Sus scrofa: one gene and its partners. The protein of the gene in region 1 interacts with the protein of each later gene in a pairwise test. Links are inferred from orthologs where the notes say so. Each region holds a gene or a part of one and is shown in the gene's direction. Other genes may lie near its edges.

Region 1 (5,971 bases):
TGACAATAAACAAACAGGAAATGACTCAGAATGTTCTAAGGCAACACATCGATGGAATACTAGAGCAGGGCAGGGTGGATCAGGAAAACTGGGGGATACAATTTTAAGTAGGGAGTCGTGTGAATATTCAGGGAAAAGCACTCCAAGCAGAGGGACCAGTGAGTAGAATGACCCCGAGGAAAGAGAGCGCCTGGCTTTTTTTGCGGAACAGCAAAGGGGACAGTGGGGCTGGAGCTGTGGAGTGACAAGAAAAGAGAGGGGACACTGGATCTGAAAGACAAAGAGATTGGGTGGGGCCTTGGAGGCCATGGGAAGATTTTGACTTTGACTCCAAGTGGAAGCGCAACATCAGATGCTTTTGAGCAGAGTTGTGGCATCACCTGATGCAGATGCTCAGTCATGGTGTGAGCTGGTCCTGCCGGAGGCAGAGACAATGCAGGAGGCCAGTGCAATAGTTCTGATGAAGGATGGTGGCAGTTCAGTTTTCCAGGAGTAGCAGCCCAAGTAAGTGAGAAATGGTCAAATTCTGGATACATGTGGAAGGTAGAGCCAGTTGGCTTTGGAGGCAGAGTGGATGTGGGTGGGGGATGTGAAAAAGAGGAGTCAAGATGCTTTAGGGCCTGAGCATTTGGAAGGATGGAGCTGCCATTTACTGAGATGTGTGTGCAAGAGCTGTATTATACATCTCACAGTGACTCGGAGAGAACAGCTGCCTTGGGAGTGTGGGCTTGAGTGTAAGGCTTCCTTCTACCTGCTGGGGAAAACCTCTTGAAACAAATGAGCTCCCGGCTGTGCTTTGAAAGATGAGGCTCGGAAAGACTGAGGTTTTCACAAGTACTTTTGTAAGACTCAAATGCACAGTTTAAAAAAAGCATCAGTTCGGGGGTTGTATTTCCTCCTCTGTGCCAAACAGTTCATTTAGTTTTTTTAGTCTTTTCCTCACCCCCACCCCAACTCCACAGGCTGAAATGCCACTTCTGAAGAGCAGAGCTGCTGGTGCATCCTGGCACCAATAGAGGGAGCTGAGAAGGCCTCCGGAAGACCTCTGAGCTGAGGCCCAGGGCTGGACACTGCCTTCTCTCCAGCCTCTAGCAACCTCTGTGCTTCTGGCTAGAAGCCAGGTGTTTCTGGGAGGATGGGGAAGTGGTTCTAGAACTCTCTTGACAATTTTCCTATTCTACTGAAACTTTTGTTTATGGCCGTTGTCATGGGTAAAGGACCAAACACATATGCATCCAGAAGTGATCACCTGTGTGTATCCATAGAGGAAAGAGATAAGGCCCTAGATGTAAATAAAGAGAAGAAGGAAGAATGCAACAGATGGAATAAAGAGGGTGTATGGGGCTGCTATGACAAGTGACCACAAACAGGGTGGCTTAAAACAAGAGAAATGTACTCTTACAGTTTGGGAGGAGAGAGGCCCCAAATCAAGGCATCGGGCCTTGCAGGGCCTTGCTCCCTCTGAAGCGCTAAGGAAGAATTCTTCCTTGCCTCTTCCAGCTCCTGGTGATTGCTGGCCAGTCTTGGCTTTCCTTGGCTTGTGGCTAAATCACTTCCATCTCGGCCTGTCTTCGCAGGGCCTTCTTCCCCTTCCCTGTGTCCCCCGGTCTTAGGAGAATAGCGGTCAGGTGGGATTTAGGGACCACCCTCATCTGGTAAGACATCTTAACTAATTACATCTTAATTCCAGATAAAGTCACTCACTTTCCTAGGGTGCAAGGACTTCAACATATCTTTCAGGGGAGCACAACTCCACCCACAACAGAGGGCAACAGGAACTTACCCTGAGAGCCCACCTGTGGGGGAAAACACATAAATGGAGCAATAAAAGGAAAACAGTTACATGTGAAATTCTAAGTGGAGGTCAAATGGATTTGGGAGTAACAGGAAATATTAGATAAGAGAAGCTTTCACTTGGGATACGCTCTCCATCTGTGCTTATGGCCTTGATTTTTTTTTTTTTTCCCTCTCAGAGTTAAAAAAAATACTGTATAAATAAAAAGAATAAGAAAATAGCACTTCTCTGACTCACACATTGGGCAGAGCCGCAAATTCTTGTGATAATCAGGAAAGACTCCACGGAAGGGTTGGTGCCTGAGCTGGATCTCGGAGGATGAGGATAAAATCGCCATGTAAAGGAGGACTTCCCAGATAGAGAGAAAGTATATGCCAAAGGCCCAGTGTCACTTCAGTGATCCACCCTTTACTGCCTGAAATAGGGTGAACAACCTCTCAAGGCAAGGCGCAGACCGTCTGCTTGATCTGTATTACTCAGAAACAGGATTAAATACAGGAAGGGGCAAACATGTTGCTGGTTTTAATAAATGCACACAGAAGCACACAGTAACCTAAAGAGACAGGAGAGCAGCATCTCTAAGGAAGACTTCATTCTTGGGCACATTTGCCAAAGCACAAATATGGAAACCCCACCCTCAGCCAGAGCTGGAGAAATCAAAAGGCTGATGTGGTATAAATTCCTCTGCCCTGATTGCATAAGGAGATCTGCCAACATTTTTTTCTCTGATATATTCCTTGCTGCACAAAGAGCTGAACTGGGTTTTTAAAACCTGATCGTGAACCGAGATAGGCAATTCTGAATCATCACCAGGATCTAGGAAAATTAACCCTCACCGATCTTCCCAGATAAGCACCCAAGCTTGCTGCCTCTGAGATCTGCTGCGGGGTTCTGGCTAGGTTCCTGTCACAGAGAGACTCCCCTTTTTTGGCATAAGAATGTACAAGATGCCAGTAAAGTTCACACTGGGTCATCGAAGGCTCTTTAAATGCACGGTGATTCATTGCTGGGGGTGGGGGAGCGACGAGAGGGAGGGGGAAGGAAGTGCTGAGCAGAGAGGCGGAGCGAAGTAATTATGAAATTGACTGCAGAAAAAGCTCGCGCTGGGAGTGACGGGGGTCACGTGTTCCTACTATTGGTATTTCGGCTACAACTTTCAAACCCGAGGCAGGGGGGAGGGGTCGGGAAACCTCACCTTGCCTCTTGATTGGCTTTCGGAGGAGATGCTTCAGATGCCTGGCATATTTATTAGAATTACAACGGAGCATTAATTTCTCTTTTTATCTGACAAAGAAGAAACGCTCTCCCATGACAGTCCGGTTAGCAGAACAAAAATCTGGCTGTACTGGTATGAGTGAACAATTTGTCTTCTTCTTCTTGATTTACTCCGCATTCTAGCTGACAGGGTCTTCCATTCTGCGCATTCATTTTGTACTTAAAAAGGGATTGTTTGTAATTTACAGTTTAAGGCTGAGGGCCATTATTCTGCGCTGTCAGAACGCATCTGCCGCAGGAGCATCGTTTCAGCCTGTGCCAGGGCACAAAGCAAGCCCTGATCGCCAGTCAGCTTGAGAGCTCCCTGGAGACTCCAGCCCTTAAACTTTGGAGAGGCCTGGCCCACAGGGGTTCTGCAAATATCAAACTGCCTGACAACCCCCGCTGAAATCCTGACACACAGTTTCCTCTTTGTGTCCAAAAGCAAACTTGGCCAGTGCCTCTTCTCTAACTCTTCCTCTTTGGGGTAAACTTGGTAAATTCCTCATAAAATAATTGTCTTAAACTCGGACCCTCCTGTGGGTCAGTTTTCCTAGCTGATGGGTGACTCAAGAAAAACAAACCGACAGAGCTTACAGCTAGATATTTTAATATCCTGTAGTTAGAGTCACAAAGACCTTCCCTCTTTCCCAAACAGTTTGATGTGTTTTGTTTTGTTTCTTTCAGTCCGTTGTAGCCCCTGATCTCAGTCTGCAGACACCCTAAGCTTAACCCCTACAACCCATCAACTGCCATCATCTTAAAGTGTAAACAGTGGTGGCTTTGGGCTTTGATTTTAATTTGGAAAATGTATTTCTTTTGAGGAAACAAAATGCCAAGATGTTAATGAAATGCTTTTAATAGATTTCCAAATGCTCCCAGCCAATACCAGGCAAAGTTCAACTCACTCATTCTAAGCCTCAAACTGTTGTTCATTTTCTTTTCCTGTAAGAAGGGCTATGTCCTATAGATGATTAAAACCATAAATTCTGTTATTTCATAGGTCATTACATTACATTCAGTCTTGGTTGTAGTTACATTGACGAAAATTTATCTAGGTCTTGCTTGAAAAATAAATAATAATGGTTAAAAATCATCTCATTTCCTTTTGACGTGTCCTATTAGACTAAGTATATGAGAAAGTGTTATATATAAAAAAAAAGACAGATTTCCTTTTGGTGGCCTTGATTTGTTTTCTAGTTAAGCAGCAACTGTATACTTTTCATTATTCATGCCCAAAGCCATCTGTCATTAAAAGGTAACACCCCCAACCATTCAGCCACAAGCTGCAAATCCAGCTATAACTCCAGAATACATAGCTTTCCATCAGCTTCCCAGGGTGGCACAGTGTCTGGGATCCTCTCTCCCCTTCTCCCCCCCCCAAAAAAAAACCCACACCAGATCTAACAAATTTTTAGTCTAACAGACAAATCTAATAAATTTCTATTTTGTGGGCCCATGCCAGATCTACCCAGGAGATTATTCCTTCACCACCAGCTTACTCTCAGAGATCATTTTAACAAAGGTTAAGGTCCATGTTATACACTGCAAGGGGGAAATCTCAGGAAGGTTAAAAAAAAAATAACCCAGTTATCTACTCCACTACTGCAGAGTCATGCCAGGATCTTAAGGTCTCCAATTAGTTCTTAGAACTAATTCCTGCACCTCCCCAGCCTCATTATTTATACCAGAGTGGTCCATTAGAAAAATAATGGACACATGTCATTTTAAATTTTATAATAGTCACACTCGGAAGTAAAAAGAAACTGGTAAATTAACTTTAACGGTATATTTTATTTAACCTGACTTAGGCAGAATATTTTCATTTTAATCGATACGAAAATTCTTGAGATACCTGTATATGTGTACACTTGTGCATTTGTGTGTATGTTCTAAGTCTGACATTTAAAGTGTATGTTACACGTATAACACATCTCAATGGCTGAAGTCATATTGAACAGTGCAGACCTATCTGAAAGCACTTGTTTTTGGTTTTAATTGTAGACAGAATCTTATTTAAAATTCCCTACTGTGTGTACTGTTACATCATAAACTGTTGGCAGATGTTTAAGTACAATGATTTTAATTTCACTCTTGACTAGTGGTGATGTCATTTTCATTACCCAGAAGCCTATGCTGCTACAGTTTGGTGGAGGGTCAAGAAAGATGATTCAGAAGTATGTACTTTAAGAGTCTCTGTGCCACAAACAGAGGCCAGTGACTTCAGTCTGGGTGTGGTGAGCTGACCTCAGAGTCTATTGTGTGAGTGGTTTTCACTTTTGTTTTTAGTTTATTTTACTTTTCTGGTGTCTCTAGCTTTATTTGTCAGTGCAGTCTAAAGAAAGTATATTGGTTTTGCAAGCACACTGTCATTTGCTCGGATTTTTAAATGACATGTGTGGGATAATATCTTCCTTATAATACCATGGTTAAAGGTCTGTCAGTGTTTCCATTAAAAATTCAAATCTTTGGATTTATTACCCAGCCATAACAAATTGCTCCAGGCAAATCTTTCTCTAGCATAGGAGGAAATTCTTTTTAATAATTTTTTTGTTGTTGTTGTTTTTGTCTTTTTGCCATTTCTTGGGCCGCTCCTGCGGCATATGGAGGTTCCCAGGCTAGGGGTCCAATCGGAGCTGTAGCCACCAGCCTACGCCAGAGCCACAACAACGTGGGATCCGAGCTGCATCTGCCACCTACACCACAGCTCACGGCAACGCCAGATCCCTAACCCACTGAGCAAGGCCAGGGATCAAACCTGCAACCTCATGGTTCCTAGTCGGATTTGTTAACCCCTGAGCCACAACAGGAACTCCTTTTTTTTTTGTAAAGGCATATGGAGGTTCCCAGGCTAGGGGTCGAATGGGAGCTGCAGCTGCCGGCCTACACCACAGCTGCAGCAACACAGAATCCGAGCCTCAT
Region 2 (5,926 bases), on another chromosome or scaffold:
TTGACATTTTTATTTTTGCAATTAAAAATTAAGTTTAAAAGTGCATGACATTTCACATCAGTGGGGAAAATGGTAACAAGTGGATACACCTGGGTATATGTTTATCCTTTTCTCACCCTGACTGTCTTTTTAATAGTAATTATTTTTATCATCATGATCATAAGAATGTCTTAAAAAAATAACAGAAAAAACTGTTTGCTGTGTTTATTTACTAAGAATTTGAATAGAGGAGTTCCTGTTGTGGCTCAGAAGTAACAAATCCAACTAGTATCCTTGAGGACATTGGTTTGATCCCTGTCCTTGCTCAGGGGGTTAAGGATCTGGCAGTGCCGTGAGCTGTGGTGTAAGTCATAGACGTGGCTAAGAGCCCATGTTGCTGTGGCTCTGGCATAGGCCAGGAGCTGTACCTCAGATTCGACCCCCCAGCCTGGAAACTTCCGATTGCCACAGGTATGGCCCTAAAAAGAAAAAAAAAAAAAAAATTTAAATAGAGATATTTTAATTTTCTTTATATTTTTCTACCAAATCCAAACACTGATGATGGCATGATTCTGGCATTAGAATTACTATTATTTTAGGATTATCAGCATTACAGTTTGCTAAAAAAAGGTAATAACAACTGTGGTGGTGTTAGGTTAATAACAGAGATCATAAAAACACTTTTCTCCTGACATCTCATGAAAGAATGATTATTATAAGTGTCTTATATGTAAATAAATCAATCATCCCAGCTTTCGAAATAAATTTCAAATGGAACAAAGATTTAAGGGTTTGTTTTGCTTTGTTTTTAAAGACAATAGAAGCACCGAAAGAAATAAAAAGTAAGCCTAATCAAGGTCATGTGTAGCCCGCACTCCCAGGGTGAGGCCACACGTGGAGTTGCTGCCCCCGAGAGAGATGTACGATTGCTGGGCCACAAGCTGCTGACTCTCTGACCTCGCACTTCGCTGAGCATCAGCAGTCCAGGCACAGCCAGTAACTGTGAGGTGATCTCTCTTCCACAGCCTGGAACGGGGTCGGGGGGATGACAGGTCCCCACAGCCTGGCTCTTGTAGCAGCAGCGCCCCGTCCCCAGGACACAGACAGCATCGGACTTGGCCTCTGGGCCTGGCTCGGGAGAGGCAGAGGCGGCGTCCCATCCTCCTGTGTGGGAAGGCTGTGAAAAGAAAGCCCTTGTTGGCCCAAACATTTAAACAAGAATTACACTGGGTTCTTTTGTTCTCCCTCTGATATGGTCACAATTCATTTGGAGGTCCAGAAGCAGTTATTTTTGTTGTTGTTTTTGAATCTGTGTTACTTTATGCAAGGACCCAGAGGGAAACACAAAGCAAAAACACTTGGTTGGAGTTCCCGTTATGGCTCAGTGGATTAAGAACATCATGTCCATGAGGATATGGGTTCAATCCCTGGCCTCGCTCAGTGGGTTGAGGAACCTGCGTTGCTGCAAGCTGGGGCATGGGTCGAGATTGTGGCTCGGATCCGGCACTGCTGTGGCTGTGCTGTAGGCTGGCAGCTGCAGCTCCGATTCAACCCCCAGTCTGGGAACCTCCATATGCTGCAGGTGCGGCTGTGAAGAGAAAAAAACCAAACACACGACTGAAGTCTGTCCAGTAGTGTTGGAACAACCCCGTGTCATTCTTCAGGGCACTGTTTTGTGAGTGTTTGGGGAGCTCCTGACCCAGGCATCACATCCAAGCCATTGTAGGATTCCTTGTGACAAGTCCTGGATGATGGCGGGCAAGCAGTGGAGGATGGGAATCTGGGAAATAGCTCGAGAGAGCCTCACCATTTTTTCCCCCTCTTCAGGTTTGACAGGAAAAACTTGCTTTCTGCAAACAACTGAAAACACCGCCCTTGGAAGTTGTTTCTTTGGTCCTCATGGAGCAGCTGGAACCTGTGCTGTGAGGCCTCCAACGGGACGAGCTGTCGCCCACTGACCACTTAGCGCCACTGTCACCATGGCCAGCAAGAGGAAGTCCACAACCCCGTGCATGATCCCTGTGAAGACTGTGGTGCTGCAGGATGCCAGCACCGAGGCTCCACCCGCAGAGGCTGTGCCCGAGGGGCCCCCGCAGGAGCCGGCCCCAGAAGCACCAGCCACTGGCAGCGAGGCCGCCCAGGGTGCCAGTAGTCCTGATGGCGCCACGCTGGCCAATGGGCACCGGAGCGCCTTGGATGGCTACTCGTTTGCCTGTAAATACTGTGACTTCAGATCCCAGGACATAACCCAGTTTGTGGGACATCTGAACTCAGAGCACACAGACTTTAACAAAGACCCAACTTTTGTATGCACCGAATGCAGTTTTCTGGCAAAAACCCCCGAAGGGCTTTCTCTGCACAATGCCAAGTGCCACTCGGGGGAAGCCAGCTTTGTGTGGAATGTGGCCAAGCCAGACAATCATGCAATCGTGGAGCAGAGCCTCCCTGAGAACAGCAGCCCTCCCGACCCCCTGGGGGAGCCCAGCGTGGAAGGGACCGATGGACAGGCTGAAATCATCATCACCAAAACTCCAATCATGAAGATAATGAAAGGCAAAGCTGAAGCCAAAAAAATTCACACGCTCAAGGAGAACGTCCCCAGTCAGCCCACCGGGGAGGCCTCATCAAACCCTTCTGCTGGGGACACGGAGGTGAAAGAGGGGGACCAAGCCTTTGTCAACGGGGCGGCCCCCGTCAGCCAGGCCTCTACCAACTCTGCAAAACCCCCCCACGTGGCCAACGGGCCCCTGCTGGGGACAGTGCCAGTGCTGCCCGCGGGCATCGCCCAGTTTCTCTCCCTCCAGCAGCCAGCCCCGCACACCCAGCACCATGCCCACCAGCCCCTGCCCACGGCCAAGTCCCTGCCCAAGGTGATGATCCCCCTGAGCAGCATCCCCACGTACAACGCGGCCATGGACTCCAACAGCTTCCTGAAGAACTCTTTCCACAAGTTCCCCTACCCAACCAAAGCCGAGCTCTGCTACCTGACTGTGGTCACCAAGTACCCGGAAGAGCAGCTCAAGATCTGGTTCACCGCCCAGAGGCTGAAGCAGGGGATCAGCTGGTCCCCGGAGGAGATTGAGGACGCCCGGAAGAAGATGTTCAACACGGTCATCCAGTCTGTCCCTCAGCCCACGATCACCGTCCTCAACACCCCGCTGGTCGCCAGTGCCGGCAACGTCCAACATCTCATCCAGGCCGCTCTGCCGGGCCACGTGGTGGGCCAGCCAGAGGGCACAGCCGGGGGACTTCTGGTCACTCAGCCACTGATGGCCAATGGGTTGCAGGCACCTAGCTCGTCCCTCCCGCTGGCAGTCACATCTGTCCCCAAGCCGCCCTCTGTTGCGCCCATCAACACTGTGTGTTCAAATACAACATCGGCCGTGAAGGTGGTGAACGCAGCCCAGTCCCTCCTCACAGCGTGCCCCAGCATCACCTCCCAGGCCTTCCTCGATGCCAGCATCTACAAAAACAAGAAATCGCATGAACAGCTGTCAGCTCTGAAAGGGAGCTTCTGCCGGAACCAGTTCCCAGGACAGAGCGAAGTTGAGCACCTGACCAAAGTGACCGGCCTCAGCACCAGAGAGGTGCGGAAGTGGTTCAGTGACCGCAGGTACCACTGCCGGAACCTGAAAGGCTCCAGGGCCGGGCTGCCCGGAGAGCACGGCTCCCTCCTCGTCGACTCCGGGCCGGAGGTGGCCTTCTCCCCATCGTCCAAGGCCCCAGAGGTGACCTGCGTCCCGACAGCAGCCACCCTGGCCACCCCCCCTTCTGCCAAGAGACAGTCCTGGCACCAGACCCCTGATTTCACACCAACCAAATACAAGGAGCGAGCCCCTGAGCAGCTCAGAGCCCTGGAGAGCAGTTTTGCACAAAACCCCCTTCCTCTTGATGAGGAACTGGACCGCCTCAGGACCGAGACCAAAATGACCCGCAGAGAGATTGATGGCTGGTTTTCAGAGAGACGGAAAAAGGTGAGCGCCGAAGAGGCCAAGAAGGCCGAGGAGGGTGCCTCCCAGGGGGAGGAGGAGGCCGCCGAGGAGCAGGGGGAGGAGGGCTCGGCCGGTGACCTGAAGGTCCCAGGTGAAAGTGGCTCCCCGGAAGTGCTCGGCAGCCACTCGCTGGCAGAACGCAAAGTCAGCCCCATCAAAATCAATCTCAAGAACCTGCGGGTCACAGAGGCCAATGGCAAGAGCGAGCTTCTGGGGCTGGGCACCTGCGAGCCCGAGGACGACGTGCCCAGCAAGCTGGCGGAGCAGCCCTCGGGCAAGGTGAGCTGCAAGAAGACAGCCCAGCAGCGGCACCTGCTGCGGCAGCTCTTCGTGCAGACGCAGTGGCCCAGCAACCAGGACTATGACTCCATCATGGCCCAGACGGGCCTGCCGCGGCCCGAGGTGGTGCGCTGGTTCGGGGACAGCAGGTACGCCCTGAAGAATGGCCAGCTCAAGTGGTACGAAGACTATAAGCGGGGCAACTTCCCCCCCGGGCTGCTGGTCATCGCCCCAAACAACCGGGAGCTGCTGCAAGACTATTATGTGACCCACAAGATGCTGTACGAGGCGGACCTGCAGGGCCTCTGCGACAAGACCCAGATGAGCGCCCAGCAGGTCAAGCAGTGGTTTGCTGAGAAGATGGGCGAGGAGACCCGGGCCGTGGCCGACACGGCCAGTGAGAGCCAGGGTCCCGGCGCTGGCGACCCTGCGATGGTCCACAGAGGGATGGGCGACACCTATTTGGAGGTGTCTGAAAACAGTGAGTCGTGGGAGCCCGGTGCCCCTGAGGCCAGCTCTGAACCCTTTGACACACCAAGTCCCCAAGCTGGACCTCAGCTGGGTAAGGGGCCCTTGCGGCTGTGCTGTCCTCTGTGGGTATGGGAGGCACCGGTGGCAGGTACTGAATCTAGTGCCAGGGCATCTCCAATTTCCAAGGCTGTCTGGCAGGAGGAGCCATCAGAGCGCCATACGGCCATGGGCTGAGAGCTGGCTTTTTATCACTTTCCATGTTGGTTAATCTGTGCACAGGGGGGCACAGTGAACCCACAAAGGCCCACACCTCTCTAGCCATTCCTTAGCCCAAGGAGAATAGGTCAGAATGTCATCTGAACCGGACAGAGCCACAACCACTGCATAGGAGAGAGAAGGCACCTCTGAGGAGATTCAGCCCAAACTGGTGAACAGAAGCAGAGAATGCCTTTAACTGACCTGAGATACGTGAAGTGGTTTTTCTTTTTTTCCCAGTGATGAAAACCCTGTAGTTTGCATTTCTCTTATTCTTCCTGGTGTAGATAGAGGTAGTGAAGGACTGGCTTCCCTCTTATAATGGAATCGAAAGCTTGAATTTTTTACTTAGTTTCTCTGGATCATGGCATTAGTACTTCAAAGAAAGTTTTAGAAAATTATTTTTATTGAAGACAGTTGGAAGCCTCAGACACGTCACGTATCGGTGTTGATTTTCTTCAGTCTTGATCCCTGCGTCCCCACCCTCCTCACTAGTGGCCTCACCACAGACTGGCCGGGAGCCATGTGACCTGGCTCTTCACAAGAGGCTGCGGAAGCCGAGGAAGGATCTGGATTCCCAGATTCTCTGATTCGTGGGCCTTTAGAGGTTGGTTCCCGGGCCGGGCTTTTCTGGACTTGACCTTGTGCCCTCCAGGCCGCCATGAGTTAGTGAGGTTGCCACAGGGAGCATCATGGGCACCAGCGAACAGATTTGAGCTCACAGGGCTGGTTGCCTTGGCACCATCTGCAGCACTAGGCCTGCCCCATGGGATGTGCCCACCCTTGGCTTTGGCTTTGCCAGGAAAACGGCGGGCAATTTTGGGGAATTAGAACCAATTTATTTAGTTTTTTTTTTTTAATTGGAATTCTACTGAATTATATTCCTGTGGCTGGAAATAGGGTGGTGGCCACTCAACATTGTGAATGTATTGAATGCCACTCAATTGTAT
Region 3 (5,757 bases), on another chromosome or scaffold:
TGAAAATAAAAAATAAATAAAAGCAGTGGTTCAGCATGACAGAAGCAGGGATGAAGGAAGGGGGTGGGGGATTCATAGCTTGATCTTTTAGAGAGAAGCAAGAGATTCCTCTCAAGCTGCTTGGCCAAGAAACAGAGGATTCCTGTGTATTTATTTTTTGAATAGTAAAAACATATACAAGAGTTCCTGTTGTGGCTCAGCGGTAATGAATCTGACTAGTATCCATGAGGATGCAGGTTCAATTCCTGGCCTCACTCAGTGGGTTAAGGATCCGGCATTGCCAGGAGCTGTAGTGTAGGTCGCAGATGCAGCTCAGACCTAGCATTGCTGTGGCTGTGGTGTAGGCTGGCAGCTGTAGCTCCGATTGGACCCCTAGCCTGGGAACTTCCATATGCCGAGGATGCGGCCCTAAAAGCCACCCCCCCCAAAAAAGGCAAAAAGACAAAACGGAGGGAGTCCTCACTGTGGCTTATCGGGTTAAGAACCGACAGAGCGTCTGTGAGGATGTGGGTTTGATCCCTGGCATCGATAGTGGGTTAAGGATCCCGAGTTGCTGTGAGCTGTGGTCGCTGATGCTTCTTGGACCCTGGCTGTGGCGTAGCCCTCAGCTGAAGCTCTGATTCATCCCGTAGCCCGGGTCCTTATGCCACAGGCATGGCCATAAAAAAAGAAAAATAAATAAAGTGAGATGGCAAAGAGAAAGCTGTATTAATGCCTAGTAGGAGTTACTCCAGGGTCAGTCTTTTTTTTTTTTTTTTTTTTTTTTTGCTACACCCGTGGCGTGTGGAAATTCCCAGTCCAGCGATCAAACCTGAGCCACAGCAGCGACCTGAGCCTCTATCTACAGTGACACCACCAGATCCTTAAGCCTGCAGGGGCCTGAGATTTTACCATGAACACCGAAGACACTGTGGACTCTTGGTGCTGATTCTAGATCCACTCCCCACCCCCACCCCCAACCAGAGGGTCTCTCAAACAAAATCAAGAAGGGGCTCCTTCAAAGTTTTTGGATGCCTGTTCTAAGGATGAAGTCAGAATATGGTGCCTGAGGAGTTCCCGTCATGGCACAGTGGAAACGAATTCAACTAGGAACCATGAGGTTGCGGGTTTGATCCCCGGCCTCACTCATTGGGTTAAGGATCCAGTGTTGCTTTGAGCAGTGGTGTAGGTTGCAGACGCGGCTTGGATCTGGTATTGCTGTGGCTCTGGTGTAGGCTGGAGGCTACAGCTCCGATTCGACCCCTAGCCTGGGAACCTCCATATGCCATGGGAGCGGCCCTAAAAAGACCAAAAAAAAGAAAAAGAAAAAAGAGAATATGGTGCCCGAAAGAGAAAAGCACGGCTCAGAACAGGGGGTGTGGGGTGCAGTCAGCGTGACAGTATCGCCTGGAGCTGACGAGGGCGGTGAGAGTAAGGATTCCATCCTTAAGTCTTGTACAATCCCCAGTGGGCCTCATTCTCTCGATTTCAAGTGGCCATTTTTCCACATCTCCACCTTCTGGAAGTAGGGTATTCCTTCCAGTGTGAGGTCGGCTGGCCCTGACTCCCTGGAGCATCCCCGCCTCCCTAGGGGTACACTGCACCGCCACCGCCCCGAAGGCATCCCAGCCACGCTGAGACGTCTCATCACCATGATGGCCAGAGTCCGGCCTGTCCAGCCCTGGGTGCGAGACAGGCAGGGGACGTTCCTCCGGCCCACTCAGCGGCTGCCGGCAGTGGGGCGCCCTCCCCGGCCCCGAAGTCCCCAGCTGGGCCCCCTGTCTTGCAGGTGTCGCCACCGCCGGCCGTCATGGGCAAGCAGAACAGCAAGCTGCGGCCCGAGGTGCTGCAGGACCTGCGCGAGAACACCGAGTTCACGGACCACGAGCTGCAGGAGTGGTACAAGGGCTTCCTCAAAGACTGCCCCACCGGCCACCTGACCGTGGACGAGTTCAAGAAGATCTACGCCAACTTCTTCCCCTACGGCGACGCCTCCAAGTTCGCCGAGCACGTCTTCCGCACCTTCGACACCAACGGCGACGGCACCATCGACTTCCGGGAGTTCATCATCGCGCTGAGCGTGACGTCGCGGGGCAAGCTGGAGCAGAAGCTCAAGTGGGCCTTCAGCATGTACGACCTGGACGGCAACGGCTACATCAGCCGCAGCGAGATGCTGGAGATCGTGCAGGTGCGTCTCCGAGGCCCCGCCCACCCAGGGCTCGGGGCCGCCACGCCCGTAGCCGTGGCCGTGGCCGTGGTGATGGTGGCAGAGCCCGGGTTTCCTCGGGCCCCTTGGACAGAGACGCACGGAGGTGGCCGGCGGGGCTGCTGAGCCCTCCCATGGCAGTGTCCCAGAGAGCAGGTGCTCGGTCCTTTCTGGGGCTAGTGAGATGGTTCTCCTTGCTGGGTCTCAGGGTCTGAGTCTTTTTTTTTTTTTTTTTTGGCTTTTAACGGAGGTGCAGCCATCCCGTAGTCAGGTGTTTGAGGCCCGGCGTGCCGCGTGATGGGCCGTGCCCGCGTCTGGCCGGGTCCTCCCCCTCCGCCGCAGTCCAGCCCGCAGAAAGCCCGAGAACTGCCCCGCCTCCCGCCCCCAGACAACCCCTGTCTTACAGCCATCACCTCGGGTCATTTCCTCTGTTCTTGAACTTCACGTAAATGAGTCCGGCTTCCTCTGGCTCGTGTGCTGTCTGCCATATCCTTCCTCGCTACTGGGAGGAGCGGGCAACTTTCCAGCTAGGGAGGGGTCCGCAGCCCCGACTGCTGTGGGCGAGGCCGAGGCGGCAGCTCGCGCCTGGGCCCCACCCGTCCAGGGACACCCCGGAATCGCTGAGCACGAGGTGTGTGTGCCCCTTTGCAGGCCATTTACAAAATGGTGTCGTCGGTGATGAAGATGCCGGAGGACGAGTCCACCCCTGAGAAACGCACGGACAAGATCTTCAGACAGATGGACACCAATAATGACGGTAAGACCCCGGCGTCAGTGCCTCGGAGCACAGATGCGTGTGGGAGCCTTCCCTCCTGCTCTGCAGCTTCTCGGGCCTCACCCAGCCATGCAGCTGCATTCAGGGAAGAGCCGGGGTTCGGAGTCCGGGTGCCTGGGTGAGCGTCCTGCCCCCCTGATCTGTAGTCTCCTTGCTTCTAGAACCGGGGGACGGTAGGCCCCGGCTGTCCAGGGAGAGGCGCAGGTGCAGTGTCACCGCGCCCTGCAGGGGTGGGGACCAAGCGTCCCATGTGGTGGGGCCCTGGGAACTGCATCCCTTTGCTCTCATTATCCTGACTGGAGGGCTCCCAGTGGCCCCAGGGACTCTGCGGGGAGGTGCTGGCTGGAGCAGCTGTGCGGGGCCTCTGGGCTCATGCCACGGCAGAGGTGGCGCTTCCAGGAGGGGCGGTGGCAGCCGCACAATGAGGACTCAGTGTGTTTCCTGCTCTGCACTGGCTGCGAGCTTCTGCGGGGCCCACAGGGGGAGCGTAGCTGTGAAACTCCACGGGTCTACGCCTCTTAAGCAGTGTTAAGTGCCGTCCCAGAGCCTGGTCCGATTTGCTTTTGATCAATAAAGAAATGCAGCATTTAGACAAGAAAAAAGAGAAAATACCCCCTGGGCTGTGCTGGAGATGGAAAATAAGCAAATGGACAGAAGCGTGCTCTCTAGACCCCGAAGTGAGGTGCGAGGAGGAGGCCGAGGGCTGCGCCCTCGGGGGAGGGGTGCAGCGGCGCGACCGCAGCTGGAGAGCCTCTTATGCAGAGGCAGGAAGTGGGCTCCCCAAGGCACAAGTTGCCACAATGCAGGGTCTGCTTCAAACTCGGTCCCTCCCACATCTGTATCCTGGGAGCATGTGTTTGGCGCCAGCGTCGGTGGCTCTGGAACTCACCTTTCTACGGCACCCGGTCCCAGGAGTAACAAGGTCCTCGATGCAGGAGGCACCGAGGACGAGGCAGGCACCAGCAGGCCCTTGGCAGGCCTCTGCCTAACCCTCCCACCCCGCAAAGCAGGTAGTGCAGGAGCAGGAAGGGGACTCAGCCGGAGCAGCGGGCCGAGCCTCCGCCAATGGATGGCCAAGCTGGACGGGCCGGAACCACACCCCGGGCAGTGGCTGGGAGGCTCTGGATTGGTTATGGGCTAGAGACAGAGGCCATGTTCTTTCCGGACAAGACACGTCGTTCTTAAATAAAGCGTGGAGAACTTTCTAGAAGGATTTAGCTTGCCCCACCAGCCACAGCGTGCAGCCATACTGGGGACAGCCTTTGAGGGGCCCCGTGCTGTGCCACGAACAGTGAAAGCCAAAAAGGGTTTTCCAGAAATGCTCTTTTTTTTCTTTTCTTTTTTTTTTTTTTTTAATGTTAGGGCCGTACCCACAGCATATGGAAGTTCCCAAGCTAGGGGTTGAATCAGAGCTGCAGCCACCGGCCTACGCCACAGCCACAGCAACAGCAGATCCAAGCCGCATCTGTGACTTACAGCTTGCAGTCACGCCAGATCCTTAACCCACAGAGCGAGGCCTGGGATCGAACCCGCATCCTCATGGATACTAGTCGGGTTCTCACGCTGAGCCTCAACAGGAACTCCCCAGAAATGCCGTTGAAACGAGTGGAGCCTGGACAGCATCCAGGACTCAAGGGCGCGTGGGGACAGTGACACAGGAATGGTGACAGCACACTAACTCCCATTTCTCCCCCAGGCAAACTGTCCCTGGAAGAATTCATTAAAGGTGCCAAGAGCGACCCGTCCATCGTCCGGTTGTTACAGTGTGACCCCAGCAGCGCCAGTCAGTTCTAAGGGCCCGGCATGTGGACAGTGCAGAGAAACACAAGCTTGTCTTGCCATTTAAGCTTTGCTTGCGACAGTGGATGCCTCCTCAGTCATTCCTGCTCTCCCAGGGCAGCCAGGCGCCGCGTGGCACCTGCCCGCCCGGCGGCCGCGCCTCCCCCCCTCCGCCCGGCCTCCTCCCGCCCCCTCCCGGGTCCCTCCTGGGCGACTCCCCGGGATGTGTTTACACGCAGGGCTCCCAGCATCCTTGCTTCTGGGCCACCTCCCGGCCTGCAGGGAGCCCAGAGGACGCGCCGAGGATACTGGCGGGACTTTTCTAAGATCGCGCCAAGGCCAGCCGACTTCTCTTGTGATCGCAGGTGACTCTGGGAAAGATGGAGACAAGAATGGAGGGAACATAGACGGGCAGCCCCCCCCACTCCCTCTCCTCCCCCCACCCCGTGCATGGCTCCACCCAGCTCGTTCGTTCCTCTCTGACCAAAGCCTCTTGCTCATATATATATATATATACCAAGGTCTTCTTTCTTTTAATATATAAGTTATACGTATGGTGAAGTGACGTGTAAAGTGTAAGTCCCGTATTTAATGCCTCAATTGCCTTTGAAGCGTGGTTCCCTCGTGGCCTGTGCCCCCTCCGAGCCTGGTTATTTTGTGGTATTTATGCCCTCAATCTACCCCTATCCAGAGGACCTGCATGCGTGCCCAGGGCCGCGGAGACCCGCCCGTCCGTGTCGTGAATGCAGGCATCTGTGTAAGGTTTGTCTTCTCTGTGGATTGGTCTGGCACTTCCTGTATTAAAATGATCAAATAAACCGACTGTCTGAGTTTTGTGTTGGCCTGGGAGGGGCCCCGTCCTGCCCCCCCGTGGCCCTGCCCGTGCAGGTGGCCTGGGTGGGTCTGGCTGCTGTTTGTAAACTTGGCCCCGGAGCCGTCACTGTGTCTATAAACCTTATGCGGCCTGGTCTTCATTATCCGCCTAATGCCAAGAAATATCCGTGGAAATAAAAGATGA

What was found. The genes of interacting proteins can lie anywhere in the genome.
Region 2: the proteins of ATXN1 (region 1) and ZHX3 interact in binary tests that used the Homo sapiens proteins (3 or more experiments, as listed by UniProt). The link is inferred for Sus scrofa from reciprocal best matches to the Homo sapiens genes ATXN1 and ZHX3.
Region 3: the proteins of ATXN1 (region 1) and HPCAL1 interact in binary tests that used the Homo sapiens proteins (3 or more experiments, as listed by UniProt). The link is inferred for Sus scrofa from reciprocal best matches to the Homo sapiens genes ATXN1 and HPCAL1.

Annotation. Positions count from the first base shown.
Region 1 is NC_010449.5:12,726,851-12,732,821, reverse strand, and holds the start of ATXN1 (ataxin-1), read left to right. Parts: upstream 1-1,971; 5' UTR 1,972-5,971. UniProt on the Homo sapiens protein: Chromatin-binding factor that repress Notch signaling in the absence of Notch intracellular domain by acting as a CBF1 corepressor. Binds to the HEY promoter and might assist, along with NCOR2, RBPJ-mediated repression. Binds RNA in vitro.
Region 2 is NC_010459.5:43,854,954-43,860,879, reverse strand, and holds the start of ZHX3 (zinc fingers and homeoboxes protein 3), read left to right. Parts: upstream 1-1,958; coding exon 1,959-4,812; intron 4,813-5,926. UniProt on the Homo sapiens protein: Acts as a transcriptional repressor. Involved in the early stages of mesenchymal stem cell (MSC) osteogenic differentiation. Is a regulator of podocyte gene expression during primary glomerula disease. Binds to promoter DNA.
Region 3 is NC_010445.4:126,107,208-126,112,964, reverse strand, and holds HPCAL1 (hippocalcin-like protein 1), read left to right. Parts: upstream 1-1,789; coding exon 1,790-2,167; intron 2,168-2,836; coding exon 2,837-2,942; intron 2,943-4,656; coding exon 4,657-4,754; downstream 4,755-5,757. UniProt on the Homo sapiens protein: May be involved in the calcium-dependent regulation of rhodopsin phosphorylation.